Stegostoma tigrinum: one gene and its partners. The main gene of each other region encodes a partner of the protein of the gene in region 3 in a complex. Links are inferred from orthologs where the notes say so. Each region holds a gene or a part of one and is shown on either strand. Other genes may lie near its edges.

Evidence for each region.
Region 1: pigc (region 3) and phosphatidylinositol N-acetylglucosaminyltransferase subunit Y-like share a complex: the UniProt entries of both Homo sapiens proteins name them as parts of the glycosylphosphatidylinositol-N-acetylglucosaminyltransferase (GPI-GnT) complex. The link is inferred for Stegostoma tigrinum from reciprocal best matches to the Homo sapiens genes PIGC and PIGY.
Region 2: pigc (region 3) and pigh share a complex: the UniProt entries of both Homo sapiens proteins name them as parts of the glycosylphosphatidylinositol-N-acetylglucosaminyltransferase (GPI-GnT) complex. The link is inferred for Stegostoma tigrinum from reciprocal best matches to the Homo sapiens genes PIGC and PIGH.

The regions. Positions count from the first base shown.
Region 1 is NC_081370.1:36,822,033-36,830,514, reverse strand, and holds phosphatidylinositol N-acetylglucosaminyltransferase subunit Y-like, read right to left. Parts: upstream 2,899-8,482; coding exon 2,683-2,898; 3' UTR 1,881-2,682; downstream 1-1,880. Other genes in the region: protein preY, mitochondrial-like, read right to left, coding at 2,992-3,142, 5,262-5,453. UniProt on the Homo sapiens protein: Part of the glycosylphosphatidylinositol-N-acetylglucosaminyltransferase (GPI-GnT) complex that catalyzes the transfer of N-acetylglucosamine from UDP-N-acetylglucosamine to phosphatidylinositol and participates in the first step of GPI biosynthesis.
Region 2 is NC_081363.1:80,333,770-80,344,541, reverse strand, and holds the start of pigh (phosphatidylinositol N-acetylglucosaminyltransferase subunit H), read right to left. Parts: upstream 4,339-10,772; 5' UTR 4,283-4,338; coding exon 4,109-4,282; intron 1,657-4,108; coding exon 1,447-1,656; intron 1-1,446. UniProt on the Homo sapiens protein: Part of the glycosylphosphatidylinositol-N-acetylglucosaminyltransferase (GPI-GnT) complex that catalyzes the transfer of N-acetylglucosamine from UDP-N-acetylglucosamine to phosphatidylinositol and participates in the first step of GPI biosynthesis.
Region 3 is NC_081387.1:9,165,718-9,176,490, forward strand, and holds the start of pigc (phosphatidylinositol N-acetylglucosaminyltransferase subunit C), read right to left. Parts: upstream 3,910-10,773; 5' UTR 3,860-3,909; coding exon 3,682-3,859; intron 920-3,681; coding exon 850-919; intron 1-849. UniProt on the Homo sapiens protein: Part of the glycosylphosphatidylinositol-N-acetylglucosaminyltransferase (GPI-GnT) complex that catalyzes the transfer of N-acetylglucosamine from UDP-N-acetylglucosamine to phosphatidylinositol and participates in the first step of GPI biosynthesis.

The DNA of each region.
Region 1 (8,482 bases), on a different chromosome or scaffold from region 3:
TCACACAAAGGGTGGTGAGTGGCTGGAATGTGCTGCCAGAGGAGGTTGTAGAATCCGGCACAATAGCAGCATTCGAGAAGCACCTGGACGAATACATGAATAGGAAGGAATAGAAGTATATGGATCCTGTAAGTGAAGACAGTTTTAGTATGGAAGAGCAAAATGTAGTGGCCACAAGTTTAGAGGGCCGAAGGGCTCCATTCCTGTGGTTTTATTCTTTGTTCAAATGGGACTTTATGACAATTGACAAAGCATTATGGAGGCTAGTTTTATGTTAGCCACTGTAGTAAAATTTTAACATTTGTGCCCAAAACAGTAACCTGACCCTCTGACCCATCTGTCGAGTGACAGTACCATTACACCACTTGTCTCCTCTACTATATTGGCCTTGGAGTAACTCAATAGAGATTCCTCAGAATGATAACCAGTACATAGAAGGTTAAATTATGAAATGAGGTTTCCCACATCACTATTGGCCAAGTTATAGAAAATTAAGAAAGGTGCTCCTTTGGCACAGTGGTTGTGCCGATAGCCAGGAGGCTTGGATTCCAGTCCCGTCTGCTCCAAAGGTGATAACGTCAGAATAGGTTGATTAAAACAATTTGAGGGGTGGTTGAATTGAAATGTTTAAGATGATAAAGAGATAGACAAAAATTGTTTCCTCTGGTGATTTCTAGAACAAGGTGGCTCCTCTTTGTCTATACCATTGGTTACATCAAAACAAACCTTGAATTTGTCAAGCAATTTCCTTTTTATAAACAGAGATAAAGGGAACTGCAGATGCTGGAGAATCCAAAATAACAAAGTGTGGGGCTGGATGAACACAGCAGGCCAAGCAGCATTTTGAGAGCACAAAAGCTGGCGTTTCGGGCCTAGACCCTTCATCAGAAAAGGGGGATGGGGAGAGGATTCTGAAATAAATAGGGAGGGGGTGGTAGGCAGACTGAAGATGGATAGAGGAGAAGATAGTTGGAGAGGAGAGTACGGGTGGCGAGGTAGGAAGGGGATAGGTCAGTCCGGGGAGGACAGACAGGTCAAGGGGGCAGGATGAGGTTAGTAGGTAGGAAATGGAGGTGGGAGGAGGGGATAGGTGAGAGGAAGAACAGGTTAGGCAGACAGGGACAAGCTGGACTGGTTTTGGGATGCACATGTCTATCCTGGGCCTCCAGCAGTGCCATAATGATGTCACCCATAGGTTGCAGGAACAGCAACTCATATTCCGTTTGGGAACCCTGCAGCCTAATGGTATCAATGTGGATTTCACCAGCTTCAATATCTCCCCTCCTCCCACTGCATCCCATTGAAGCAGAATTTGCAATCTCTGGTCAACTTCACCCCATCTTAACTGAGGTAAAAAATATCCAGTCTACAGCCAGACAGTCTAGTGATGGAGATGAAACATTTGCTTCAAATTGCTTTATTTAAAGATAACTCAAACTGCATGGTATGGAAATAATCATCTGCTTTCAACATGTAGATGACTCGAACTGCTCATTACCAGTAACTTAGTTTACAATGACAGGTCATTCCATGGTTGTATTAAGTTTTCAGCAACTTCTGACCTAGACTGATTCTAGCCTATTCTATGCCCAGCTTCTTCTGAAGAAAATTCAGTAAAGGAAGGGCTCCCAGTCCTAATAAAAGCAAAATACTGCAAGTGCAGGAAGAGTCATTCTACACTTGAAATGTTAGCTCTGTTTCCCCCTCCACAGCTGCTGCCAGGCTTCCTCCAGCACTTTGTTACTTCCCCCTGATAAGGCATTTCATTAATTATAATACACTTTGGGCCATCCTGAAGTACTTTTGAAGTGAAGTCATGGTTGAACCATTGAAAATGTGACAGCCAACATATGCCCAGGAAGTTCCCACAAACATCGATATGATATTTGCCAGATAACATGTTTATTTTTTCAAATGTTGTTGCTTGAAGGACAGACATTAGTCAGATAGCCAATGAACACTCCCCTGCTTTTCTTTTAAATAGCACCATGGAAGTTTTTACTTCTACACAAGGGAGCAGACAGGGCTTTGGTTAACATTTAAAAGAGAGCATTTTTGACAATGTGATATTTTCTCAGTACTACACTGGAGTATCAGCAAACATGGAACTTAAACTACAACCTTCTGAATCAAGAAATCATTGTACTACCTACCAAGCAACGTGTGAAAGTAACAGAATACAGGCAAGGAAACTCAAATACAGACCACAAGTGTGGCTAAATACCCAGGCAAACAGCAAGTGTCTTCGAAAGCAAGGTCAAAAGCACCAAAACTAAACCTTTGTTATAATGAATTTCCATGGTTTATTTGCATCTGACATTGTGGTGGAATTTGATGTGACTTTGGTTACACTGTTTCTTCAAGACAGAAATCCGTATCGAACTGGTTCAAATGGACTGCCTGTTAATGTCTCCTGCATTGCAGTCACTGGGAATGAAGCCAATGGAACTGAACATTACCAGAAAAATGTACCATGATGAGGCAAAAGTGAATGCCTCGCATTTTGTGTGTAAGGAACAAGTTAACCAAAACAGTGCCAATTTCCACCAATAATACACTCAAGATTCTAAATACCTCCAAGCCAATGGAAAAACCTTGTTACTGAAACTAAATTTCATTTGAGAGGTTGATGCCGTCAGGTCACCACAAACATCATCATACGCAATAGCTTTTGAACTCAAATTAGTTATGCCTGAAAAGTTTAATCCCCATCCAGCTCCATAGGTGAAAAAATACAAACACTGGGATAGTGATGGGGAGTAGTAGGCTGTAGAAACACAAGCTGGCCATACTAGTGCAGCCCTGTGGAAAATCCTTGTCAAATGCAGCTGAGTACAACAGCCCAGCTAAAGAGAACAGGGGAACCAGCACTGTGAGAGTTGACAGATAGATTGTCATTATCTTGCAATACGCAAGATAAGCTCCCTCCCTTTAAAATAATCTCAAACTTCCAGAGTTCCCCACCACTTCCAGAAGCAATGTGTGATCCGTTTACTGCTGTGAAAGTTCTTCCGCCTTGGGTGTGTCTTCACTCTTGCGAATTAACTTTGCATCCTGAGGGATCATGTTGGGAATTCCATCGACAACAGGATAGGCTATTCCCAACTCATCATTGATCAGCTGATTGGAGGATTCATCATATCTATAAAGGTGACAGAAGCAAAGTATTAAACTGCAGCTCATTCAAAATGAGTTGGAACTGGAGTCTGCCCTTTTAATCTGGTTGAAAATGTTATGTTTCAAAAGGCAATATCTTTCTATGATTCTCAAAACATTTCCAATTTTCAAAAGAGTTGGAAAGACAAGCGAACACTTCTGCATTTACACAGTTTCTTTCACAAGCTCAAGAAACCTGATATTTTCATCAGCTGATTGCATGTAATACAAGTGTTGTGGTCGAGGGTCAGTGGGGAGAACTGCCAAGCTGTTGTGCAAAATTGTAGCTTTGGGAGGGTATGTTGCTAACTGACTGATTTAAAAGGTGAAACATAGCCAGGACAGAAACAAAACAAAACAAAACATGAAAAATAAATGTGGGGAAATTGTTATCTTTAACAACAAACTGATAATTTTATTAAACTCAACTTCCTTTGGTACAGAGATCAGAATTGATCTGCTAAACAAACCCACTTTTCTGGTTCAGATACTGTTAATCTTGTATGTATTTCCATTCTTCTCTCTACACTTCCCTGAAGATGTTTACTTTTTGATGGGATGGAGTTCTTCAATCATTTGTAGCTTAGACTCAACAAGGAAATTATTATTTACACAAGTATCTTAAAAGCAAATGGTAAGCTATTTGATTGAGAATGGTGTTGCAGTCAAGACACTCATAGACATACTTGCTAAATCTTCAGGATGAAGAATCCATGTAGGCGTTTCATCCCTCTCCTCTAACTAAACAGGATTGAAGTCAATTGTATAACAGTTCTGAGCTTCTAAAATGAAGAACGAACAGCCCCAAACCAAAAAGCCATTCCTGCTCTGGCTACAGTACATAAATGGCAATACTATCAAGGAGGCAGAACCATTGCATCTATTTACTTCCCACAAGCCACTTCCTTTGATTTGAATACTCTGAATGTTTCTGGTGTACAATCAAGACAAAAATTCCTCCAGTCTAAAGGCATCAAGACATCCTGCTTTTGTTCAGTCAATCTGCTGACAACCCATCACTTAGCAAGCACACTCACATCAGAATCAGGAAACCAGGTGTTTGAGTCTCACCCCAGAGATGTGAGTCTACAAACCTAGGTGGATACAGCCACTACAGTACTAAGGGAACATGGCACTATCTGGGGACAGGAATTCAATACAGAAGGACTGCTGTACTATTCAAAAGAAAAAGCTGGACAGTTGTCTGGTATTCACAGAACATAAGAACTAGGTGTAGGAGTAGACCAGCTGCCATTCAGTAAGATTATCGCTGATATTTTCATGGCCTCAGCTCCACTTATCCACCCTCTCATTCTAACCCTTAATTACTTCAGTGGGCAGAGAATTCTGCCAATTCACAACTCAATTCAGTGCCAAATCTGCTTCCTGTAATTTTGAGGCTATGTCCTCTTGTTCTAGTTTCTCCCACCAGTGGAAACATGCTCCTTGCTTCTATTGACTCATTTCATAATTGTAAAAGTTTTTTATAAATCCCCCTCATTCTTCTATAAGAATGTTCATCTGTCTCCATCATGAAAAAAGACTGCTGGTCAATATCACATCCTTGTTTGCATATCTGTACATTACAACAGTGGAAAGGTACTTCACTAATTCAGAAACATCTTCAGACGTTTGGTGGTAATGAGAGGCACTATATAAATACTAGTTGTTTGCATTATTTTAGAGAACATTTTGTGTTGGCATTGCACAGTAGAAACATCCACAGAGCTGATGGGAGTCCTCTCCTTGCAGTATTAGGTGCTCTGAGATTATCCACCTTCCTCCAGGGCCACAATGAAACCCAGATTCCATTAAAGGTCCTCGGAACGGTCTTTCACTTTGCAAAATCCTGCTTTGAGGCCAGTTCAATCCCTTCCCTGAACCCGCTCCAGTTCCCTTCAACTCAAAAATCAAATTCATTGTTCCTACTCTCTGCCTCCATTCCGCTCCGCCATCCCGAATTGTGAAGAGGAGACCATTCAGACGATCAAGAATGTGCTAGCACTTCTTAACAGCAATCTAGTTATTTTCAGCGACTCGTTCTCCTGTTGCTAGACATAGGATATCTCCCCTGTCCTAGTCTCTGACCTTCCCCAAGGACGAACCTGAGCTGCTTTCTGGACAGGGGACACACCAGATACGGGAGCAGGGTCGGGTCCAGAGCAGCCTTCCTGTCTCCCTCCCCGGTTACCGATTCTCCTGACAGCCTGGCCCGGGAGAGATGCAGAAGCCTCCGGGCCGCTCCCCGGATGCGAGACCCGTACCCAACCCGAATCATTCCCACCCGAAACTCCAGACTCACCACCAACACTTCCGCATCCGGGCTAAAGCACTAGCCCCGCCCCCTCCACCTTTCACCCCCATTGAAAAGGGCAAATGCTGCTGTAAATTGTAGAGCTCACTCACTTTCAGGAAGATGCTGTTCCAGAAATTGAACGAATAAAGGCGACTCCAATCAATTAAAAGTGCCATTAGGTACCAAACTGCAGCAAAATCTGTGTCATACACATCTGCACTGCAGATACCCAGCTTTCCCTCCTGTCAACTGCATCAGATTTCTCACCATCTCTAATACTGGATTATCAGACATTTCCTCTAAAACCGCCTTGAAAGGACAGACACCACTCTCTTCAATCTATGTCACAAATCCTGTTTTCTGATTTTTAAGGCTGTCTGTGACCACTTGCTGAGGTTAAACTCAATGCCATTTGAACCCATGATTACCCTCCAAATGCTTCAAAACCAAGACTACATATATTCAGCTCACAGCCACCTGCCTCTGTTCTTCAGTTGCTTAAGCACGAATGGTGTCTTTTTACCTTGATTTAGGTTTGATCATTCCAACACAACCTTGTCACCCTCAATATAACTTGAGCTCAGCATTTAAAATTCTACAGTTCATATTCTAACTCACATCAATTTCGGTTAATTCTAACCCTGGATCCTGCTGAACTGCATCGAGCCACAGTCTGACAACACCTCAAACTTAGAATGCTCATCCTTGTTTTTAGATTCTCACTCTTCTCTATCTCTTGCAATTTCCTTCAGCCCTAAAGTATGCCAACATCTCAGAGTTTCTCCAAGTGTGACCTCTCGAGCATCTCTGACTTAAATCACTACCCCACTGGTGGCGGTGCCTTCAGATGCCTGAATCCTAAGGGCTGGAATTCCTTACCTTCCACTCCCTTATCTTTATAGACTGTTTGAAATCTATCTCTTTGACCAAATCTTTAGTCATCCACCCTCATTAGCTGTGTGTCAGCAGTGGCTCAGTAGGGAGGACACTTGCTTCAACATCATAAGAACAAGTTATCAGGTCATAGAACATAGAAAAATACAGTGCAGAACAGGCCCTTCGGCCCTCGATGTTGCGCCAACCTGTGAACTAATCTAAGCCCATTCCCCCACACTATCCCATCATCATCCATATGCTTATCCAAGGACTGTTTAAATGCCCTGAATGTGGCTGAGTTAACTACATTGGCAGGCAGGGCATTCCACACCCTTACCACTCTCTGGGTAAAGAACCTGCCTCTGACATCTTTCTTAAATCCATCACCCCTCAATTTGTAGCTGTGCCCCTTCGTACAAGCCAACATCATCATCCTAGGAAAAAGACTCTCACCATCCACCTTGACTCATCTTTCTCTGATCGTCTTGTATGTTTCTATTAAAGGCCCTCTTAGCCTTCTTCTCTCCAATGAGGACAGACTCGAGTCGCTCAGCCTTCTCTCATAAGACCTTCGCTCCAGACCAGGCAACATCCTGGTAAATCTCCTCTGCTCCTTTTCCAATGCTTCCACATTCGTCCTGCAATGGAGCGACCAGAACAGGTCGCACGAGTGTTTTGTGCAGTTGCAGCATGACATCACAGCTCTGGAACTCAATCCCTCTACCAATAAAATCTAACACACCGTATGCCTTCTTCACAGCACTATCAACATGGGTGACAACTTTCAGAGATCTATGTACATGGACCCCAAGGTCCCTCTGCACATCCACACTACCAAGAATCTTTCCATTGGCCCAGTATTGTACCTTCCTATTATTCCTCCCAAAGTGAATCACCTCACATTTATCCGCATTGAACTCCATTTGCCACCTTTCTGCCCAATTTTGCACTTTATCCAAGTCTCCCTGCAACCTGCGACATTCTTCCACATTGTCCACCACTCCACCGACTTTAGTGTCATTTGCAAACTTAATAACCCATCCACCTATGCCTGCGTCCAAGTCATTTACAAAAATGACAAACAGCAGTAGGCCAAAAACAGATCCTTGAGACACACCACTAGTAACTGGACTCCAGGCTGAATATTTTCCATCAACCACCACTGGTTGCCTTCTTACCGAAAGCCAGTTTCTAATCCAAACTGCTAAATCTCCCTCAATCACATGGCTCCGTATTTTCTCCAATAGCCTACCATGTGGAACTTTATCAAAGGCTTTACTGAAGTCCATGTCCACTATGTCAACTGCCCTTCTCTCATCCACATGCTTGGTCACCTCCTCAAAATCTCCATGAGGTTTGTGAGACACGACCTGCCCTTGACAAATCCATGTTGACTATCTCCAATCAAATTGTTGCTTCCGAGATGATTATAAATCCTATCTCTTATAACCCTTTCCAAAACTTTTCCTGCAACAGACGTAAGGCTCACTGGCTGTAATTGCGTGGGTCATCTCTACTGCCCTTCTTGAACAAGGGCACAACATTTGCAATCCTCCAGTCCTCTGGTTTTAAACCTGTAGACAATGAGGACTCAAAGATCAAAGCCAAGGGCTCCGCCACCTCCTCCCTAGCTTTCCAGAGAATTCTCGGAAAAATCCTGTCAGGCCCAGGGGATTTATCTATCTTCACACCTTCTAGAATTGATAACATCTCCTCCTTACTAACCTGAATCCTTTCAAGTCTAATAGCACGTATCTCAGTCGTCTCCTCGATGATATTCTCCTCTTCCTCAGTGAAAACAGATGAGAAATATTCATTTAGCACCTCTCCGATCTCTACCTGGTCCACACACAACTTCCCACTTCTGTCTTTGATTGGCCCTATTCCTACCCCAGTCATCCTTATATTCCTCACATACCTTTAGAAAACTTTACGGCTCTCCTTTATCCTACCTGCGAATGACTGCTCAGGACCCCTCCTTGCTCTTCTTAACTCTCTCTTTAAATCCTTCCTTGCTCACCTGTAACTCTCCATCGCATCAACTGACCCATCTCATCTTAACATCACATAAGCCTCCCTCTTCCACCAAACAAGAGATACAATTTCTTTAGTAAACCACGGTTCCCCTACCTTATCACTTCCTCCCTGCCTGAC
Region 2 (10,772 bases), on a different chromosome or scaffold from region 3:
CCTACAGAGCAGCCAGGTCCAGATGATCAGTCAATATCAATTGTGCTGAAAGACCCAGAAATTTTAATTGTCCCCAGACACGGCTGAGTATTTCCAGAATTTTGTTTTAAATTCCAGTTTCCTTCAGCCACTACTTTCTTCCCCTTAGCTCTGCAACCTTCTTTTTGAACATTTAGCCTATTCATTTTCACTATTATTCCAACCCCTCCCCCAACAAATGCAATTTTCCCTCTGCGTTCCAGTTTTAAATTGTCTTTTAGATCCGGATCTTTCCCATTTACCTGTTATATTTTTTTAAAACAATCTGTTTTTCACCTCCTACACACTTAATCCTGTTTCCGTTTTGACACTCCGTCAAGACTTTCTATTCCCACCTCTCCTCCCTTGCCCCATCTGTCACATTCTCTCACATTCGTTTTAGTCTCCAGCATCCTGTCTGCTCCACCTTGCCCCAGTGCTTTTCATGAACAACTACACATTTCATATTGTTCAAAGATTCTTTCGTTGAATGTGTATAATCCTGAAAGCTTACATGTTCTTAATTTACATTTTTGTCTTCCTTTAATACTTCACGACCCAATTTTTAAAAAATTTCAATTCAAAAGCATTTCGATACATATGGATCCAGAAATGAAATACTGTGGATCTTGGAAATCTTGAAATAAAAACTGAAAAATGCTGGAAACATTCAAGGGGACAGGCAGCATCTAAGCAGCAAGAAACGGAGTTTGTCATTTCAGATCTTTTGTCAAAGTTGGGAGAAATTAGAAGTTTAACAAGTTTTGAGGAAAACAGGAAACCAGATAAAACAGAGTGGCATGGCAATTTCCTTTCTTTGATGACCCTAGCTGACGGGAGTTGGGAAGCTCTCAGCAATGGAAGCTCAAGAAACAGCATTTCATTTTCCAGTTAGGTGCTTCAATGGTGTTCAGTTTAGTTCAGGCGGCTGGAAGTTGGGTTGTGAAGCAGTGTGATGCCAAGAGCGTGGGTTCAATCCCCACATCAGCTGAGGTTACCACGAAGGGCTCTCCTTCTCAAGCTCTCCCCAGACTAGAGGTGTGGTGGCCCTCAGGTTACATCACCAGTCCTCTCACACTCTCACTCACCAGAAACCCATGGTCTGACTCCCAACACACATTTCAACAGTAGGGCACTTCAAAAGAAAAAAAAATAATTTGAGATACTGGAGGTGATGAAAAGCATTGTACCAATGTGAATTCTGATTGTGGCCTATCAATTTTCTGACAGCAGCTATGCAATTCTCAAATTTCATGTAGTGTTTATTACAACATTAAAGACAGAAGATGCAGTTTCTCCAGGACTGAATAGTTTAAACAAGGAAAGTGTTCAAACATTAAACAGTCCTTCACGTTCAGGTTCCATATTTGTTGTTACTCTGCAGTAGAGTGTCAGTAACTTAAGGAATCATTACTCCGTCTCACTTACCATATAAATGGCTTCATTGATCACAATATCTTTCACCTTCCTCATCTCAATGAATCTCACACTCTCTCTGCCAGAAGCATACACGGTGTTCATCTGGACTCCAATCGATCCAATGATCAGCATTGACTCCTGATCAATCTTAAATAAGTGGAGGTGCAGCATCATCCCAACGAGAGTCAAAACAATGGAAGCTGAGAGCACTAGAGTGTTCTGCAAGAAGCAATTTGCAACAAAGACTATCAGGGCAGTTCCTGCAACCTGTTCACGAAGCCAACTTGAACTTTTAATAATGGAAACTGAAAATGCCCAGCAGGTCTGCACCCAGTTCTGATTACAGATCATGGACCTGCAACGTTAACTCTGTTTCACTTTCTACAGATGCTGAGTTTCTCCAGCATTCTCTGCTTCTATTTCTGATCTCCAGCATTCACAGTACCTCACATGTATTAGAAACTGCCCTTTATTTTGTATCACTGCCTATTAAAATGCATCACTACAGATTTGTTATTATGAAATAACAATAGGGAATCTAATCCAGTCTGCTATATGTCTGACCAATAATTCTGCCTACGTCCTCTTGAGGTATATTACTTCTCTTCACTGTTCACAACAATACTTCCAATTTTTTGTCATCTACTAATTACACCCTGTGCAGTTAAGTTTATTGTCATTATATAGATCAAGACTAACAGTATGATCCTGGTACTGATTCTTGAGGGAACCCTCCTATGCAAAACAAAAGTCAGCTTTTTATTACTACACTGTCTCCTGTCACTCAGCTAACTGCGTAGCCAATGATACCACTATGTCTTTTATTCTGCAGGATTTAGCTTTGTTGCAGAGCCAGGATGTGGCCCTCTAATACATAGCTTTGGGAAGATGATTCACACTACATCAACTCTCTGTGTGAGTGCCGCAGAAAAAAAAACTCTTAGTCAAATGATTTGCTTTAAATAAATCCACGCTGACTTTTGTTTGTTAATCCACACTTGCTTACTGACTGCTTATTATGTCCTATTTTATCTCGACTGCTTTCCACCAGCGAGGCTAGAGAGTGACTGACCAATAGCTGTTGGGATTACCTTTATATCCTTTCTCAACAAGGGTGTAACATTTGCCCTCTGGCACAAATGAGTATTTGAGGAAAAGAAGATGATTATGGCTAGCAAGTCTGAAATTTCAACTCTTCACACTGCATCCAGTCCTGGGGATAAATCAACTAAGTGCACAACCAGCCTGTCTAATGTTATGTCTTTATCAAGTTCCTCAAGGTTGTGTCCATGGCAGAATTGTACTCAACTGCTTTTGTCAATGATCTTCTCTCCATCAGAAGTGGGAATGCTCAATGATTGCACAATGTTCACAATTCATTACCAGCCTGTCTAATGTTATGTCTTTATCAAGTTCCTCAAGGTTGTGTCCATGGCAGAATTGTACTCAACTGCTTTTGTCAATGATCTTCTCTCCATCAGAAGTGGGAATGCTCAATGATTGCACAATGTTCACAATTCATTACTTCTCAGATACTGATAGAGGCCATGTCCAAACGCAACAAGTCGTGGACAATATTCAGTGTGGGTTAACAAATGGCATGTCTCACACTCACTTCAGCAAAAGAAAATCTAACCATCACCCCTTGGTATTCAATAGCACTGCTACCAGTGAATCCCCACTATCAATATCCATTGACAAGAAACTAAACTGGTCTCGTCATACAAGTACAAAAGTGGGTCAAATGTTAGAATTCTTGCATGCCCATAATTCCCTAAGCCTGTCGGGCATTACAAGGCACAAGGCAGACGTATAACAGAAAACATTCCACTTGCCGAGATGGGTGCAGTTCAAACAACTCAAGAAGCTTCACACGATCCAAGTCAAAACAGTTGGCTGATTGAATTTGAATGTAGTGCCACTCTATCCACCAATGCTCTGTAGCTGCAGTGCGTACCATCAATAAGATGCACTACAAAAATTCACTAGGACTCCTTACACAGTACCTTCCAAACCCACATCAAGCTAGAAGGACAAGGGCAACAGAAACATGGGAATACCACCTCCTGCAAGTTCCACTCCAAGTCACTCATAATACAGACTTAGAAACATATCAACATTCCTTCACTGTCATTCAGTCAAAATCCTGGAACTCCCTTCCTAAGGGCTCTCTCTACCGACAGCACCAGCTTAAGGGGTAGCTAGAGAGGAAACAATAAGTGTTACCCATGTTCTGTGCGTGAGTGAAGGAATGAATTTATATTTAGTCCACCCATTATGAGTCACTGACGGAAAAGACAGGTATAAAGTGTTCATTTAGTACCTAGCCATGCCCTGCAAATACTCCCAGGTTGAGGATGCTAGCACATCGCTCACCTATTGAGCCCTGAGGAGTCACCTGTTAGGGTACTGCGCATGTGCGAAGCCGGACTGCGCACCTACAACGCAGTGGGGCGTGGTCACGACCTTGCGCGACAGGAGCAGGGGCCAATCGGTCTGGACAGCACCGGGGACGAGGCGTTCCCAGGCTATGACTGATTGGGGCGTCAGCCAATCGCAAATTGATCGCTGCCCGCCTAAAGGACTGGGACACACGTCATCAGGCCCCATCGTCCAATTAGTAGGTGTCCGCACCTCCTCCCACCCCCCCCCCCGGGGCCAACCCACCTACCTGCGTCCTGTTAAAGATGGCGTAAGCGACCAGCCAGATGGCGGCCGTGCACCCCAACACCGAACGCAGGGACATTTTCGGCGACAGGATTGTGAACTCGCGGCAGAGCGGCGAGTGGTGTCTTTGTTCGAGGGTGATGCAGCGGCCGCTTAGGTCTTTGAAAGTCGACGCCATGTCTCCCAAGCCCTGCTGGTGACGTCACGCCGCTGGGTGCGCCTGTCCACGTGACTGCGTGGGAACACCTGGCCTTTTAAAGGGACAGGCCACCTCCCCCAATCAACCAGGAGGAGCACCTTCAAACAACTGAAAGGTGCCAAGGTGCACTTACTTTGCAGCTAGCATCATGAAAATGGGGAACTTCCCTCACTATCAAAATCAAGGGGCTAATATTTAGTGATAATGGGAACTGCAGATGCTGGAGAATCCAAGATAATAAAACGTGAGGCTGGATGAACACAGCAGGCCAAGCAGCATCTCAGGAGCACAAAAGCTGACGTTTCGGGCCTAGACCCTTCATCAGAGAGGGGGAGGGGGTGAGGGTTCTGGAATAAATAGGGAGAGAGGGGGAGGCGGACCGAAGATGGAGAGAAAAGAAGATAGGTAGAGAGGAGAGTATAGGTGGGGAGGTAAGGAGGGGATAGGTCAGTCCAGGGAAGACGGACAGGTCAAGGAGGTGGGATGAGGTTAGTAGGTAGGAGATGGAGGTGCGGCTTGGGGTGGGAGGAAGGGATGGGTGAGAGGAAGAACAGGTTAGGGAGGCAGAGACAGGCTGGGCTGGTTTTGGGATGCAGTGGGTGGAGGGGAAGAGCTGAGCTGGTTGTGTGGTGCAGTGGGGGGAGGGGACGAACTGGGCTGGTTTAGGGATGCGGTGGGGGAAGGGGAGATTTTGAAACTGGTGAAGTCCACATCGATATCATTAGGCTGCAGGGTTTCCAAGCGGAATATGAGTTGCTGTTCCTGCAACCTTCGGGTGTCATCATTGTGGCACTGCAGGAGGCCCATGATGGACATGTCATCTAAAGAATGGGAGGGGGAGTGGAAATGGTTTGCGACTGGGAGGTGCAGTTGTTTGTTGCGAACCAAGCGGAGGTGTTCTGCAAAGCGGTCCCCAAGCCTCCGCTTGGTTTCCCCAATGTAGAGGAAGCCGCACCGGGTACAGTGGATGCAGTATACCACATTGGCAGATGTGCAGGTGAACCTCTGCTTAATGTGGAATGTCATCTTGGGGCCTGGGATAGGGGTGAGGGAGGAGGTGTGGGGGTAAGTGTAGCATTTCCTGCGGTTGCAGGGGAAGGTGCCGGGTGTGGTGGGGTTGGAGGGCAGTGTGGAGCGAACAAGGGAGTCACGGAGAGAGTGGTCTCTCCGGAAAGCAGACAGGGGTGGGGATGGAAAAATGTCTTGGGTGGTGGGGTCGGATTGTAGATGGCGGAAGTGTCGGCGGATGATGCGTTGTATCCGGAGGTTGGTGGGGTGGTGTGTAAGAACGAGGGGGATCCTCTTTGGGTGGTTGTGACGGGGGCGGGGTGTCAATTAAGCAGCAACGCGACTGGACTTGCCATATAAATAACTGAATGGCTACAAGAGCAGTTCAGAGGTTAAAAACACTCGTCTCCTGACTCCTCAAGGCCTGTCCATCATCTACAGGGCATAAGTCAGGGGTGTGATGGAATACTGGCCAGGTGCCTGACTAGTTACAGCTCCATTAACACAGCTTGATGCCACCGATGATTAGTTACAGCATTGTGTACTGTCTACGTAAGATGCACTGCAGAAGTTCAAAGACCATCAGACTGCACCTTCCAAATTCATGACCGGTTCCATCTAGAACATAGTCAACAGTGAAGAAAGTTATGTAAGATTACAAAGGAAATTGCAATCAATTGGCCAATGGGCCGAGGATTGGCAGATGAAGCTTAATTTACATAAATGCAAGGTATGGCATTTTGCTACAACAAACAAGGGCAGGTCATACGCAGTTAATGGTAGGGCCCTGGGTAGTGTCGCCGAACAGCGAGACAGAGGGGTTCAGGTAACAATCCTTTGAAAGCTGCATAAGACATAGTTTGGTTAAGAAGGGGTGTATGTGTGTGTGTTTGTTAAGAAGGTGTTTAGCAAGCTTGATTTCATCACTCAGATGTTTGTGTAGAGGATTTGGAAAGTCATGCTGAGGTTGTACCGGATGTCAGTGAGGCCATTTTTGGAGTACTGTGTACACTTCAGGTCATCCTGCTGAAGGATGGTTCGGAAAATATTTACCAGGATTTTGCTGGGAATGGAATAGGCTGGGAATTTTGTCACTGGAGTGTAGGAGTTGACAAGTGATCTTAAAGATTTTTTGAAATCAGGAGGGACATGGATAAGTTAACTGCAAAGGTCTTTTCCCTAGGGTGGGTGAGTTCAAAACTAGGGGACGTATTTTTAAGGTGCAAGGAGAAAAATTTAAAAGGGACCTAAGAGACAAGTTTTTCACGCAGAGGGTGGTTTGTGTGTGGAATGTACTGCCAGAGAAAGTGGTAGATGCAGGTACAGTTCCGGCATTTAAAAGACATTTGGATAGGCACATGAATAGGGAAGGTTTAGAGGGATATGGACCAAATGCAAGCAAGTGGGGTTAGTTTAGTCTAGGGAAACTTAGTTGGAATTGACAAGCTGGACCAAAGGGTCTGTTTCCATTCTGGATGACTACTGGGGAAAACCACCCCTGCAAGATTCTGTCCAAGTCATTCGCTATCCTGATGTGGAAATATCAGCATTCCTTCACTGTCATTGGGTCACAATCCTGGAATTGCCTCCCTCAGGATGCTGTGGTCTACCTATAGCACATGGGCTGCAACAGTTAAGAAGGCAGTTGGTGGGGGGGGGGGGGCGCGGTGCGAGCATTAACTGCTGACCAGCTAGTGATGCCCACATTCCCCTCAGTGAATTTAAACAAAATAGAGAGATTTCCACAGCTACCCTGCTGGTTCTTTCCCAGCATTTTCTGTTCATTACAGATTTCCAGCATCAGCAGTATTTTACCTTGTGAAATGCCAGAATTCCTGTTGAAAGGCCAGTTAACAAAACAGCCAGTGATTGAAACTCTAATACAAAGTAACCAATTCTTAAAAGAAAGGTGCTGTTTTAAGAAAAAGAAGGAATAACAAAAGTTGCAGTGTGCATCGATTGTTCGAAGAGGTCTGTGGCTAACCTTTTGTTTTCCCCTGCTTTTGTTTTTATGTGGGATGTGTACTTAGAAGGCAAGGCCAGCATTTGTTGATCACCTCAAATCTGAGTGGCTGGTCTGGCTTCCACCATTTTGCTGTGGATCTGGACTCTGCAAGGCTGGCAGATTCCCTTCTCGAAAGGACATGCTGGGGCAGCATGGTGGCTCAGTGGTTAGCACTGCAGTCTTACAGCGCCAGGGTCCTGGGTTCGATTCCAGCCTCGGGCGACTGTCTGTGCAGAGTTTGCACGTTCTCCCTGTGTCTGCGTGGGTTTCCTCCGGGTGCTCCGGTTTCCTACCACAGCCCAAAGACATGCAGGCTAGGTGGATCGGCCATGCTAAATTGCCTGTAATGTTCAGGGGTGTGTGGGTTATAGGGGGATGGGTCTGGGTGGGATGCTTCAAGGGGCGGTGTGGACTTGTTGGGCCAAAGGGCCTGTTTCCAGGGAATCTAATCTAAACATTGCTTGGTCAAGTCAACATTAGTGAACTAGTTGAGATTTTATAACAATTGATGATGATGATGATGATGATGGTCAGTTGTCTTTGCTGAGACCAGCGTATTTTTCCCGTGTGTTAATAGACGGAATTTAAATCTCACCAGCCGAGATCCAAAACTGTGCCTTTGGAGCATAAGTCAGGCCTCAAGATTACCCATTCCGGCAACACAACCACTATGTCATCAATTCGGGATTTGGTGCGGAGTGGTAGATTTTGGTGGAAAAGTACAAAACAAAAGGGGGCAATTCTAAAAAAAAAGCCCAGCATCGGAGAAGCCTGGTGCCATAAGGTGCACAAACTGTTGAAGGTGACGAGGCATCTTGAAATAATGCTGTGAAGGCACACAGGATCGTGAGCCTTATTAGTTAAAACACTGACTACACAAGGAAGAGCGTTTTGGTGAGTCCTTATAGAACACTGGTCTGATTCTGATTGGAGTATTGTTGCTCAATTTCAGGCACTGCGTTTTTCAGACAGATGTGAGGGCCCAACGAAGGGTGCTGGAAAGAGTCACAGGGGTGGGTCCCGGTATGAGGTACCAGGTAGATTGGAGCTGCTGAGGTTGTTCTCCTTGGAAGAAATTACGACGATATTGGACGAAAGCGATGGGGTCTAGCTCGAGTGGATAGGAGGCAATGCGTTCCTATTGGCAGAAAAGTCGTGAACAATGATATAAGGAGATTGGCAAAAGAACCAATAGCTTTTGTTTTATGTGATGGGTGATTATGATTTAGAATGCTCTGCCTTAGAGCGCAAGGGTGTCAGATATAATTTTGACTTTCTAAAGTGAATTGCGTAGGAAGTGATGTAGAAATTTCTAGGACGGGGCAGGGTGAGGCTGACTGATTTTCTCTTGTAGAGGGCTGGCATGAATTCACTAGCCTTCATCTATACAGTAACCATTCAATGATGCAACGGTCAGGGTGTAGAATGAAAATGCTGCCCACCACACCTTACATGTTCTGCCCATCTGCCATCAGTGCGACATGGCTTCAGAGTGTACCATCAGCAAGACACACTGCATCATCTCACCTTAGCTTGTTTGATCAACTCCTTTCAAGCCTGTAGCTTCCAACACCTTGACGTACAGGAACAGCAGATACAAGGGAACAGCATAATTTCCATGTCATGTATCGACCTGACATGAAAATATTTAAATCATCGCTGTCTTAAAATCCTGGAACTTCCTCCCTGACAGCAATGTATTTGTAACTATGCCACATGCATTACAAAGGCTCAAGAAGGTGGCTCATTACCACTCTGTCAAAGGTAATTGGGGTTGGGAAATAATGCTGCCTTTGCCGGTGGCTCCTACGTAAGGAAGGACATTGGCTACAAAACAAATCCCAGGAATTAAGGTGGTGGGGGGGGGGGTTCATCACTCTGCCAGAAAGCATTAATTGGTGAATAACTGATTTAAGTTCGGGACCACTAATGTCCGCTAGATATATAAATGACGCAGACTAAGTAAAGGGAAATATAAGGATTTGCGGCTAATTCAAATTGGTGTTATCTTGAAATGAATTTTAATCTAGAGAAGTATTTTGGACCGTGGAACAAGGAAACTAGTTTTCAAATAGGGTAGAGGGGTGTGATGCTCTCGAAATACAGACACATTAATACCTGGAAGATAATAATAATTATAAATGAGGTTTTGGAACTCATTTCTAGAGGCAAATGACTACAGAGCTGGGAGGTAATGTTAATTTTATGGAGAACCCTGGTTTGAGATTGAGTAATGGGAGCACATCTGATCTGTACACTCTGTAAAATGCACAAAGGTTTTACTAGGATATTGCAAGATTTCAGAGGCTGCAGCTGTTGAAGGAAAGAATGAAGCAGGCTCGAGCCGTTATCTCTGAAGAGAGGACTGAGAGGCGACCTGATGGATATCTTGAAAACCAGAAACCTACTTTTCACTTGTGGAAACTTTGAGATCAAATAAAACATAGAGGAATTTCTTGCAGAGAGAGTAGTACGAAAGATCTCCACCTCATGGAGTGGGCAGAGCAAATTGCATTGATGGATTTAAGAAGAAGCTTGATTCACACATGCAGGAGAAGCCATTGGAGCAGCACTGAGGCAGTGTGGGAAGAGGTAATTAGTGTGGGAGGACGCTCATGTAGAGTATAAACATTGACACAGATCGGATGGGCTCAATGACTTGTTTCAGCTATTGAGTATGGCAATCCACCGAATGGAATATAGCAATGTTACATGTTCCATCTGCCTCATAAAAGACCTTACAGCATGATTTCAAAGTAGTCCACGTACTGGTGCCCTAACCAACATTCATCTCTTAACCAATTCCATTTCGCTAGTCATTTCACAATAGCCTTGTGGATCTGAAAGGCCATTTGGCCCATTTGATCCGTTCATTTAGATAAATCTGGAGCATCCCTGCTCTCTTACGGTATCTACATATTGCTGAACTTACTCCAGGAGTGTTCACTACTCCATGTAAAAATACCCATTACAGTTCAGTGGGTAATGCTTTTGCCTCAGTTGGAAGATCATGGGTTCGAGTCTCAATCCGAAGACCTGAGTATGTGATTTGAGTTGACAGTCCAAAACAGTGCTGTCAGAGGTACAGTTCTCGGGGGAGGTGTCAAACCGATGCCCCAGTTTCTCTCTTAGATGGATGCCATCCCTCCTTTGATGCAATTAGATGTCCACTCCAGTTTCTTGACCAATATTTCTCTGTGGCCAACATTGCTGAAAGAGATGGTCTGGTCATTATCACTGATAACACAGCATCAAGCTAGAGGAACACAGCAGGCCAGGCAGCATCAGAGGAGCAGGAAAGCTGTCATTTCGGGTTGGGACCTTTCTTCTGAAGGGTCCTGACCTGAAACGTCAGCTTTCCTGCTCCTCTGATACTGCCTGGCCTGCTGTGTTCCTCCAGCTCCACACTGTGTTGTCTCTGACTCCAGCATTGGCAGCTCCTCTGATCATTGTCAC
Region 3 (10,773 bases):
TTTGGACTGTGGGAAGAAACCGGAGCACCTGGAAGAAACCCACACAGACATGGGGAGAATGTGCAAACTCCACACAGACAGTCGCCCGAGGGTGGAATCGAACCAGGGTCCCTGGCGCTGTGAGGCTGCAGTGCTAACCACTGAGCCACCGTGCTGCTCTTGGCACAGCAATTTGCCTTGCAAACCCGAGAGATGCAGCACGATGAGTTCTTGCCTACACAGTGTAGGCAAAACGCAGACTGGGTCCACAAATTTGGCCCTGAGCTTCTAATGGCCTGTTTGTTGAAACCTGTCTCCATTGCTCCCACTCTGAACTAGAGCATCACTGACACTGTTCCAGTGAAGGTCAGTGCAGAGTCACTGAACAGCATCTGACCTTTCAATTAGGCAATTTACAACATCTTAGACCTAACCACAAGCTCAACAATTTCCTAGCACATCCATTTGTGTTTTTGGTTTGGCTTTGAGACACCTACTATTAGCTCTGATTCTGCATGTGCCATTCACACCTCCTCTAGGCCCCTCTTTTGTTTCATTACTTGTTCCTTTCCCACTTCCTGTGGCCTTCCAGCACCCTCCCTTTGATTATTTAATCTGTCCTGCTTTCCACTCTGCCAAAGACTGTAGCTTTGTATTTTTTGCCTCTCATCCTTCCTCCTGTTGCTATCTCCATAACTTGCCTAAATCCTGTTGCATCTTGAAGGTCAGCATGTTCAAATGAAAAGCCTAAAGTGTTCATACTGTTTCACTCCCTCCAGATGCTATCTCCTCTGCTGAATTATTTCCTGCTTCCTCTGGTTTTATTGCATATTTCCAAAGTGCACTCACAAAGTGGTGTGCTGTGCTTACCTGGACAACTGATGGATGACAACACTGGATTCACACACCACCGTCCATACCTGGTACTGGCGCACATAAACTAGAACAGAAAACAGAACTTATGGTGACAAAATCATAGGAACATGGGACTTTGGGCCAAGAGTAGTACATTCACCCTTTTGAGTTTCCTAAGTCATTCTTTACTCAGAGTAGTAAGGGCGTGGAATGCCCAGCCTGCAACCGTAGTAGACTCGCCAACTTTAAGGGCATTTAAATGGTCATTGGATAAACATATGGATTATAATGGAATACTGTAGGTTAGATGGGCTTCTGATCGGTTTCACAGGTCGGTGCAACATCGAGGGACGATGGACCTGTACTGCGCTGTTATGTTCTATGTTCTACAAGATCAGGGCTGCTCTGATTGTGATCTAACTCCACTTTCCTGTCCACAATGCTACCCTTTCCACCTTCCTCCCAGTCCTCACCTCTTGTGAATCTAAACTCTATCTAACTTAGCCCGAAATAACGTCAACTCCTATACTCTGTTCTACAGCCTTCTGGACTCAATATTGAGTTCAACTATTTTAGGACTTGAGGCACCTTCTCCTCCGTCCTTACCACAAGCCCTGGACATGAGGCCTTGTTATCACATGGGCTACTATTACAAACAACCCATCATTGATAACTATTCGTCCTCCTAGGCTGATCATTATCTGCACTTACCTAATACCGTCAAAATTGGCCTTTCTCCAATTTAGAACTTTAACGCTTATGTGGTCTATCCATTTCCATCACTATTCTAAAATGAATAGAATTATGGTCACTGGAAGTCCCATTCTATTCTTTTTTCTTTATTCATTCATGGGGGTGAGGGTATTGCTGGCCAGGAAGCATTGATTTCCCATCCCTAATTACCCAGGGGGCAGTTATGAGCCAACCACATTGCTGTGGATCTGAAGTCACATGTAGGCCAGACAAAGTAAAGATGGCAGTTTCCTTCCCTGTAGGACATTAGTGAACCAGATGGGTTCTTCTGACAATCGACAATGGATTCATAGTCATCATTATTCTTAGATTCCCCTCCCCTTCCCCCTCATTCACCGAACCCCCTCCCCTTCCCCCTCCCTCACCGATCCCCCTCCCCCTCCCTAACCGATCTCCCCTACCCCCTCCGATCCCGCCTCCATTTCCCCCTCACCAAACCCCCCGCTCCCTCCCTCACCGATACCCCTCCCCCTCCGAACCCCCCTCCTCCTCAGATCACCCCTGTCCCTCCCACTCCGATCCCCCTCCACTTCCCCCTCTGATCCTAACACCTCCCTCACCGATCCCCCTCCCCCTCCCTCACCGATCCCCCCTCCCCCTCCCCCTCCCTCACCGATCCCCCCTCCCCCTCCCCCTCCCTCACCGATCCCCCCTCCCCCTCCGAACCCCCCCTCCCCCTCAGATCCCCCCTGTCCCTCCCACTCCGATGCCCCCTCCACTTTCCCCTCTGATCCTATCCCCTCCCTCCCCTTCCCCCACCGATCCCCCCTCCCCTTCCCCCTCCGACCCTACCCCCTCCCTCACCAATCCTCCCTCCGCTTCCCCTACGATACTCCTCCCCCTCAGATCCCCCCGTCCCTCCCACTCCGATGCCCCATCCACTTCCCCCTCCGATGCCCCATCCACTTCCCCCACCGATCCCCCCCTCCCCTTCCCCCTCCGATGCCCCATCCACTTCCCACACCGATCCCCCCCCTCCCCTTCCCCCTCCGATCCCCCCCTCCCCTTCCCCCTCCGATCACCCCCCTCCCCTTCCCTCTCCGACACCCCCCTCCCCTTCCCCCTCCGATCACCCCCCTCCCCTTCCCCCTCCGACACCCCCCTCCCCTTCCCCCTCCGACCCCCCCTCCCCTTCCCCCTCCGACCCCCCCCTCCCCTTCCCCCTCCGACCCCCCCCTCCCCTTCCCCCTCCGACCCCCCCCTCCCCTTCCCCCTCCGATACTCCTCCCCCTCAGATCCCCCCGTCCCTCCCACTCCGATGCCCCATCCACTTCCCCCTCCGATGCCCCATCCACTTCCCCCACCGATCCCCCCCTCCCCTTCCCCCTCCGATGCCCCATCCACTTCCCACACCGATCCCCCCCTCCCCTCCGACCCCCCCCTCCCCTTCCCCCTCCGATCCCCCCCTCCCCTTCCCCCTCCGACCCCCCCTTCCCCCTCCGACCCCCCCCTCCCCTTCCCCCTCCGACCCCCCCCTCCCCTTCCCCCTCCGACCCCCCCCTCCCCTTCCCCCTCCGACCCCCACCTCCCCTTCCCCCTCCGACCCCCCCCTCCCCTTCCCCCTCCGACCCCCCCCGACCCCCACCTCCCCTTCCCCCCCCGACCCCCCCCTCCCCTTCCCCCTCCGACCCCCCCCTCCCCTTCCCCCTCCGACCCCCCCCTCCCCTTCCCCCTCCGACCCCCCCCTCCCCTTCCCCCTCCGACCCCCCCCTCCCCTTCCCCCTCCGACCCCCCCTCCCCTTCCCACTCCGACCCCCCCCTCCCCTTCCCCCTCCGACCCCCCCCTCCCCTTCCCCCTCCGACCCCCCCCTCCCCTTCCCCCTCCGACCCCCCCCTCCCCTTCCCCCTCCGACCCCCCCCTCCCCTTCCCCCTCCGACCCCCCCTCCCCTTCCCCCTCCGACCCCCCCCTCCCCTTCCCCCTCCGACCCCCCCTCCCCTTCCCACTCCGACCCCCCCCTCCCCTTCCCACTCCGACCCCCCCCTCCCCTTCCCTCTCCGATCCCCCCCTCCCCTTCCCACTCCGATCCCCCCCTCCCCTTCCCACTCCGATCCCCCTCACCCTCCTCCCCCTCCCCCACCCCGCTCCCACTCACTATTTTTCCGCAGTTCCTCCAGGAAGCTGCTGTCGACGAAGTTATCGGGGAAAGGCTGCCTCTCGTACAGGACCTTCTTCCAGCGGCCAGGCCGAGGTCGGGACCGGGACCGGGTCCGGTTGTCCGAGGCCCTGCGGCCAGAGGCAGCGGCCTCCACCGGCTCCAGGTCCGCCCTCATCCAGAGACAGAGTCAGAGTCCGGGCTGCTGGCAGCCGGTGGGGGCGGGGAGGGCCCGGGCCGGAAGTGAGCGGCCGTCTCCATGGAAACCACCTGGCGTCCGCCGGAAGTATGTACGCTTTTTTCCCCATCGGGGGCTATTCAAGTTAAAATGACAGGTTCAGCGCAAGCGTACTTCCGATATAAAATTAACTGGTTTATTTTTAAGCTGTTCGAAAGCTGACAGGGGGTCAAGGAATTGGCGGTGGTTGAGGTCACGTCCGCCATCTTTGACACTGGCGGATTTGGTCTCGGCGGGCGCCATCTTTAATATTGGCGGGTTTCTTGACATCGTGATCACCATCTTTGATGCTGGCTGATTTTTGGTGCCGTCAACGCCATCGATGCTGGCACTCCCGTTGGTCGTCTTTTTGTCCGCCATCTTTGATGCTGGCATATCACCTTTGAGAACAGAGGCGCCTAATATCCTTGCTGTTGCCCAGACACAGAGTGGGTTCACCCCATCATCTGTATCTTCGAGTACAACGTGCCCTAACCAGCACCAGCACTCGGTGATGTGCTCTTCTTTTACCTCAGCGAAGCCAATCTCCTCCCCTCCACCTGCTAGGGTTGCTGAGAGCCCCTAAATGGAGCCCAGTTCATTTCCCTCACTTTTCACTGTCACTCACCCCACCCACTCCCAACAAGGCGATTACTGAATATATTCAAGAAAGATATTAGGATTCAAAGGAGAATCAAGATGTAAGGGGAGAATCGATGATGTGACACTGCGTTAGACTATGGGTCTTGATTGCCTTGAATGCTGGACCAGGCTCATCCCTCGCTCCCTGGTACCGTGAGGCAGCAAGTGACTCCTGTGCTACCCTATTCAGCCCATTCAGTTGTTCCAGTTCTTTGGTGGAACAACTGAAGTTCTGCTAAATTTCAGGCCCATAATTTATCCATGACTTAACAGAGAATTCCCACACTCAGCAAAATTCAACCATGGTCCATTAGCTCCCACTACCAAGTAATTCTCTTTCACTTAGCCCTTGCATCCTCAAAAAGGAATGCTATATTTCTGTGCTATTGGTTTACATTTATCAGCAGTGAAAACTCACACCCATCTCTGTTGCCACGCTGTTTGGCGAGTTTGCTGATGTTACGAACGTTCTGCTTATTCTGAGTTCTGAATGTCTTTAATTGGCATCACATGCACTTTGCGATAATGACCTTTGACATGACCGAATGTAGCATTAAGATGCACAAGGTAGAAAACTCTGCACTGGTTGGAGCCATAACCTGGCACATGGGAAGTGGTTGTGTGTTGGAGATGAATCATACTAGCTCCAGGCATCTCTGCAACAGTTCATCAGGTAAGTGTTCTAGGTCAAACCATCTTAAGTGACAGAAGGGTCCAGACCTGAAACGTCAGCTTTCCTGCTCCTGTGATGCTGCCTGGCCTGCTGTGTTTATCCAACCATCTTCAGCTGTTTCATCAATGACATTCCCTGCATCATGCAGTCAGAAATGGGAATGCTTGCCGATAATTGCACAGTGTTCAGCGCCATTTGCCACTTCTCAAATACTGAAGTAGTCCATGTGCAAGCACAGAAAAATGTGGACAATATCCAGGTTTGAGCTGACAAGTGGCCAGTAATATTTGCATGATAGAAGTGTGAGGCAATGACCATCTCAAACAAGACAGACTTTAACCATTTTCCATTGACATTGAAAGATTTGGGTGCCCCCTCAACGAACTTTAGGAGCTAACACGGTGGCTCAGTGGTTAGCACTGCTGCCTCACAGCGCCAGGGACCCGGGTTCAATTCCACCGTCGTGCGACTGTCTGTGTGGAGTTTGCACATTCTCCTCGTGTCTGTGTGTTTCCTCTGGGTGCTCCGGTTTCCTCCCACAGTCCAAAGATGTACAGGTTAGGGTGGATTGGCCATGCTAAATTACCACAGTGTTCAGGGATGTGTAGGTTATGTGGGTTATGAGGGATGGGTCTGAGGGCCAGTGTGGGCTTGTTGGGCTGAAGGGCCTGTTTCCACACTGTAGGGATTCTATGATGCAGGTGAGGAGGTTACGTTGTTGGCCTCACCTTTACAGTTGGAGACGTTGAAAGTCTGGGGCCCTCTGCCACGTCTCTCGCTCCATCGCGGCATCTGGCGTCTGAGCACAATGATTCAATTGCTGAATGTGCAAGATCACAAGCCACCAACTGCAAGGAAGTGTCCACTCATGTAGCTCCACCAATGTTGGTGAGGCCATCAACTTCGGCAATGAGGGTGTGGGACATAGAACATAGAACAATACAGTGCAGAACAGGCCCTTCGGCCCTCGATGTTGCGCCGACCTGTGAGCTAATCTAAGCACCTCCCCCTACACAATTCCATCATCATCCATATGCTTATCTAAGGACTGTTTAAAATGCCCCTAATGTGGCTGAGTTCACTACATTGGCAGGCAGGGCGTTCCACACCCTTACCACTCTCTGAGTAAAGAACCTGCCTCTGATATCTGTCTTAAATCTATCACCCCTCAATTTGTAGCTATGCCCCCTTGTACAAGCTGACGTCATCATCCTTGGAAAAAGACTCTCAATGTCCATCCTATTTAATTCCCTGATCATCTTGTATGTCCCTATTAAATCCCCTCTTAGCCTCCTTCTCTTCAATGAGAACAGACCCAAGTCCCTCAGCCTTTCTTCATAAGGCCTTCGTTCCAAACCAGGCAACATCCAGGTAAATCTCCTCTGCACCTTTTCCAATGCTTCCACATCCTTCCTGTAATGGAGCAACCCGAACTGTACGCAATTTTCTAAGTGAGGCCGCGCTAGCACTGTGTACAGTTGCAGCACGACATCACAGCTCCAGAACTCAATCCCTCTACCAATAAAACCTAAAACACCGTAAGCCTTCTTAACAGCACTATCAACCTGGGTGGCAACTTTCAGGGATCTATGTACATGGACATCAAGATCCCTCTGCACATCCACACTACCAAGAATCTTTCCATTGACCCAGTATTCTGCCTTCCTATTATTCTTCACAAAGTGAATCACCTCACATTTATCAGCATTGAATGCCATTTGCCACCTTTCAGCCCAATTCTGCAGTTTATCCAAGTCTCCCTGCAATCTGAAACATTCTTCCACACTGTCCACCACTCCACTGACTTCAGTGTCATCTGCAAACTTACTAACCCATCCACATATGCCTGCGTCCAAGTCATTTACAGAAATGACAAACAGCAGTGGTCCCAAAACAGATCCTTGAGGCACACCACTAGTAACCGGACACCAGGCTGAATATTTTCCAGCAACCACCACTCGTTGCCTTCTTATAGAAAACCAGTTTCTAATCCACACTGCTAACTCTCCCTCAATCCCATGCCTCTGTATTTTCTCCAATAGCCTACCATGTAGAACCTTATCAAAGGCTTTACTGAATTCCATTTACACCACGTCAACTGCCCTTCCCTCATCCACATGCTTGGTCACTGTCTCAAAAAAGTCACGGAGGTTTGTGAGACACGACCTGCCCTTGGCGAATCCATGTTGACAATCTCCAATCAAATTGTTGCTTGCTAGATGATTATAAATCCTAGCTCTTATAATCCTTTCCACAATTTTTCCTATAACAGACGTAAGGCTCACAGGTCTATAATTACCTGGGTCATCCCTACTGCCCTTCTTGAACAAGGGCACAACATTTGCAATCCTCCAGTCCTCTGGTACTAAACCTGTAGACAATGAGGACTCAAAGAACAAAGCCAAAGGCTCCGCCACCTCCTCCCTGGCTTCCCAAAGAATCCTCGGAAAAAATCCCATTGGGCCTAGGGTATTTATCTACCTTCACACCTTCTAGAATTGATAACACCTCCTCCTGACTAACCTCAATCCTTTCAATTCTAGTAGCCCGTAACTCAGTCTTCTCCTCTACAATATTCTCCTGTTCCTCAGTGAAAACAGATGAGAAATATCGTTTAGCGCCTCTCCGATCTCCACAGGGTCCACACACAACTTCCCACTTCTGTCTTTGACTGGCCCTATTGCTACCCAAGTCATCCTCTTATTCCTCACATACCTATAGAAAGCTTTAGGGTTCTCCTTTATTCTACTCGCTAATGTCTGCTCATGTCCCCTCCTTGCTCTACTTAACTGTCTCTTTAAATCCTTCCTAGCTAATATGTAACTCGCCATTGCCTCATCTGAACCATCTTGTCTCATTGTCACATAAGCCTCCCTCTTCCGCTTAACAAGAGACACAATTTCTTTAGTAAATCTCGGCTTCCTTACCTTATCACTTCCTCCCTGCCTGACAGGGACATACCCATCAAGGACACGCAATATCTGCTCCTTAAACCAGCTCCACATTTTGATTTTCCCCATTCCCTGCATTTTGCTACCCCATTCTATGCCTCCTAAGTCTTGCCTAATCGCATTATAATTGCCCTTCCCCTATCTATAACTGTTGCCCTGTGGCATGTTCCTATCCCTTTCCATTGCTAAAGTACACAACCGAATTATGGTCACTCTCTCCAAAGTGCTCACCTACCACTAAATCAAACACCTGGCCTGGTTCATTACCAAGCACCAGATCCAATGTGGCCTCCCCTCTTGTCGGCCCTGCGACATACCGTGTCAGGAAACCCTCCTGCACACATTGGACAAAAACTGATCCATCCGAAGTACTCGAGTTATCGCATTTCCAGTCAATGTTAGGGAAGTTAAAGTCTCCCATAATGACCACCCTGTTCCTTTCACTCCTGCCCAGAATAGCTTTGCCGATCCTCTCCTCCACATCCCTGGAACTTTGCGGAGGCCTATAAAAAAATCCCAGCAGTGTTACCTCTCCTCTCCTGTTTCTGACCTCAGCCCATACCACCTCAGTAGATGAGTCCTCATCAAAAGTTCTTTCGGCCACCGTTACACCACCCTTGACTAACAAAGTCACACCTCCCCCTCTTTTACCACCTTCCCTGATCTTAATGAAAGATCCATACCCTGGAACCTGCAACATCCATTTCTGACCCTGCTCTATCCATGTTTCCGAAATGACCACAACATCGAAGTCCCAGGTGCAAGCTCACCTACCTTATTCCGGATACTCCTGGCGTTAAAGTAGACACACTTCAAAACAGCTTGCTGTCTGCCAGCACACTCCCATGACAGTCAGGTCCTGTCCATAACCTCCCTACTCTCTTCCTCCTATGTACTGGAACTACACATCAGTTTCCCATCTCCCTTCTGAAATAGTTTAAATCCACCCGAATAGCACTAGCGAATTTCCCACCCAGGATATTAGTGCCCCTCTGGTTCAAGTGGAGACCGTCCTGTTTGTAGAGGTTCCACCTTCCCCAGAATGAGCCCCAGTTGTCCATGTACCTGAAGCTCTCCCTCCTGCACCATCCCTGCAGTCAGGTGTTCAGCTGAAATCTCTCCCTGCTCTTTGCCTCGCTATCACTTGGCATGGGCAACAAGCCAGAGATAACCACTCTGTTTGTTCTAGCTCTCAGCTTCCACCCTCGCTCCCTGAAATCCTGCCTGACATCCCTATCCCTCTTTCTACCTATGTCGTTGGTGCCTATATGGACCACAACTTGGAGCTGGTCACCCTCTCCCTTCAAGACCCCAAAGACGTGATCCAAGACATCATGGACCCTGGTACCTGGGAGGCAACACACCAACCGTGAGTCTCTTTTGTTCCCGACAAACCTTCTATCAGCCCCTCTAACTCTTGAGTCCCCAATGACTATCACTCTCTTCCTATCCCCCCTTCCCTTCTGTGCAAGAGGGACAGACTCTGTGCCAGAGACCTGTACCCTACTGCATGCTCCTGGTAAGTCGTCCCCCACAACAGTATCCAAAACGGTATACTTGTTTTTCAGGGGAACGACTGCAAGGGATCCCTGCACTGACTGCTTTTTCCTCTTTCTAACAGTTACGCAGATTTCTTCACGCTTATGAGTAACTACTTCCCTGTAACTCTTGTCTATCACTGACTCTGCCTCCCGAATGATCCGAAGTTCATCCAGCTCCCGCTCCAGTTCCCTAACGCGGTCTTGGAGGAGCAAGAGTTGGGTGCACTTCCTGCAGACGAACTTGGATGGGACACTAATGGCGCCCCTCACCTCATACATCATGCAGGAGGAACATTCCTCTACCTACACTGCCATCGCTGCTTATCCCCTAATCAGAAAGTTTAAAAAAAAGCTTACCTGGTGTGTTAGGTTCGAGGAGGTGGGTGGGTGGGAGGCCCTATAAGGATAGGGTCTCGGATTTAGAAAACAATCACTTATATAGCTGAGGGGATAAATAACGTCCCTCCTTTCCCAGAAACCTCTGCTCTCCAAGGTGCGGCTGCTCACAACAGAAATGGAGGGCTCCGATGCTCGAGGTAAGCTTTTAAAGATTTAAAATCACTGACTCACCTGCTTCCCGACAGGCCCCTGGTCCAAGCTCCTGCTCTTCCTGCTCCTCACAACAGAAAATAGAAGGAATGTCACAAAAGTGAGGGATTATGCTGGTATCCTGTGTCACATGGCATCGGGGGAAATGATTGTTGAGGGATGTGATCTAGTCCAATGACCGGATGGACATCTGTACAAATCTGAGCCACCTCTATGAATGTCCCAGAATATCCGCAACATCATCACCTCAGGTGACCTCCCGCCCACAACCTCCAACGTCATTGTTCCCCAACTCCGCACTGCCCGCTTCTATCTCCTTCCCAAAATCCACAAACCAACTGCCCTGGTTGCTCCATTGTCTCAGCCTGCTCCTGCCCTACCGAACTTATCTCCGCTTTTCTCAACTCTGTTTTCTCCATCCTGGTCCAAGAATCCACCCATGCCCTCCACTACCTCCAAAACTTCCAATTCCCTGTCCCCCAACATCTCATCTTCACCATGGACAGCCAATCACTGTAT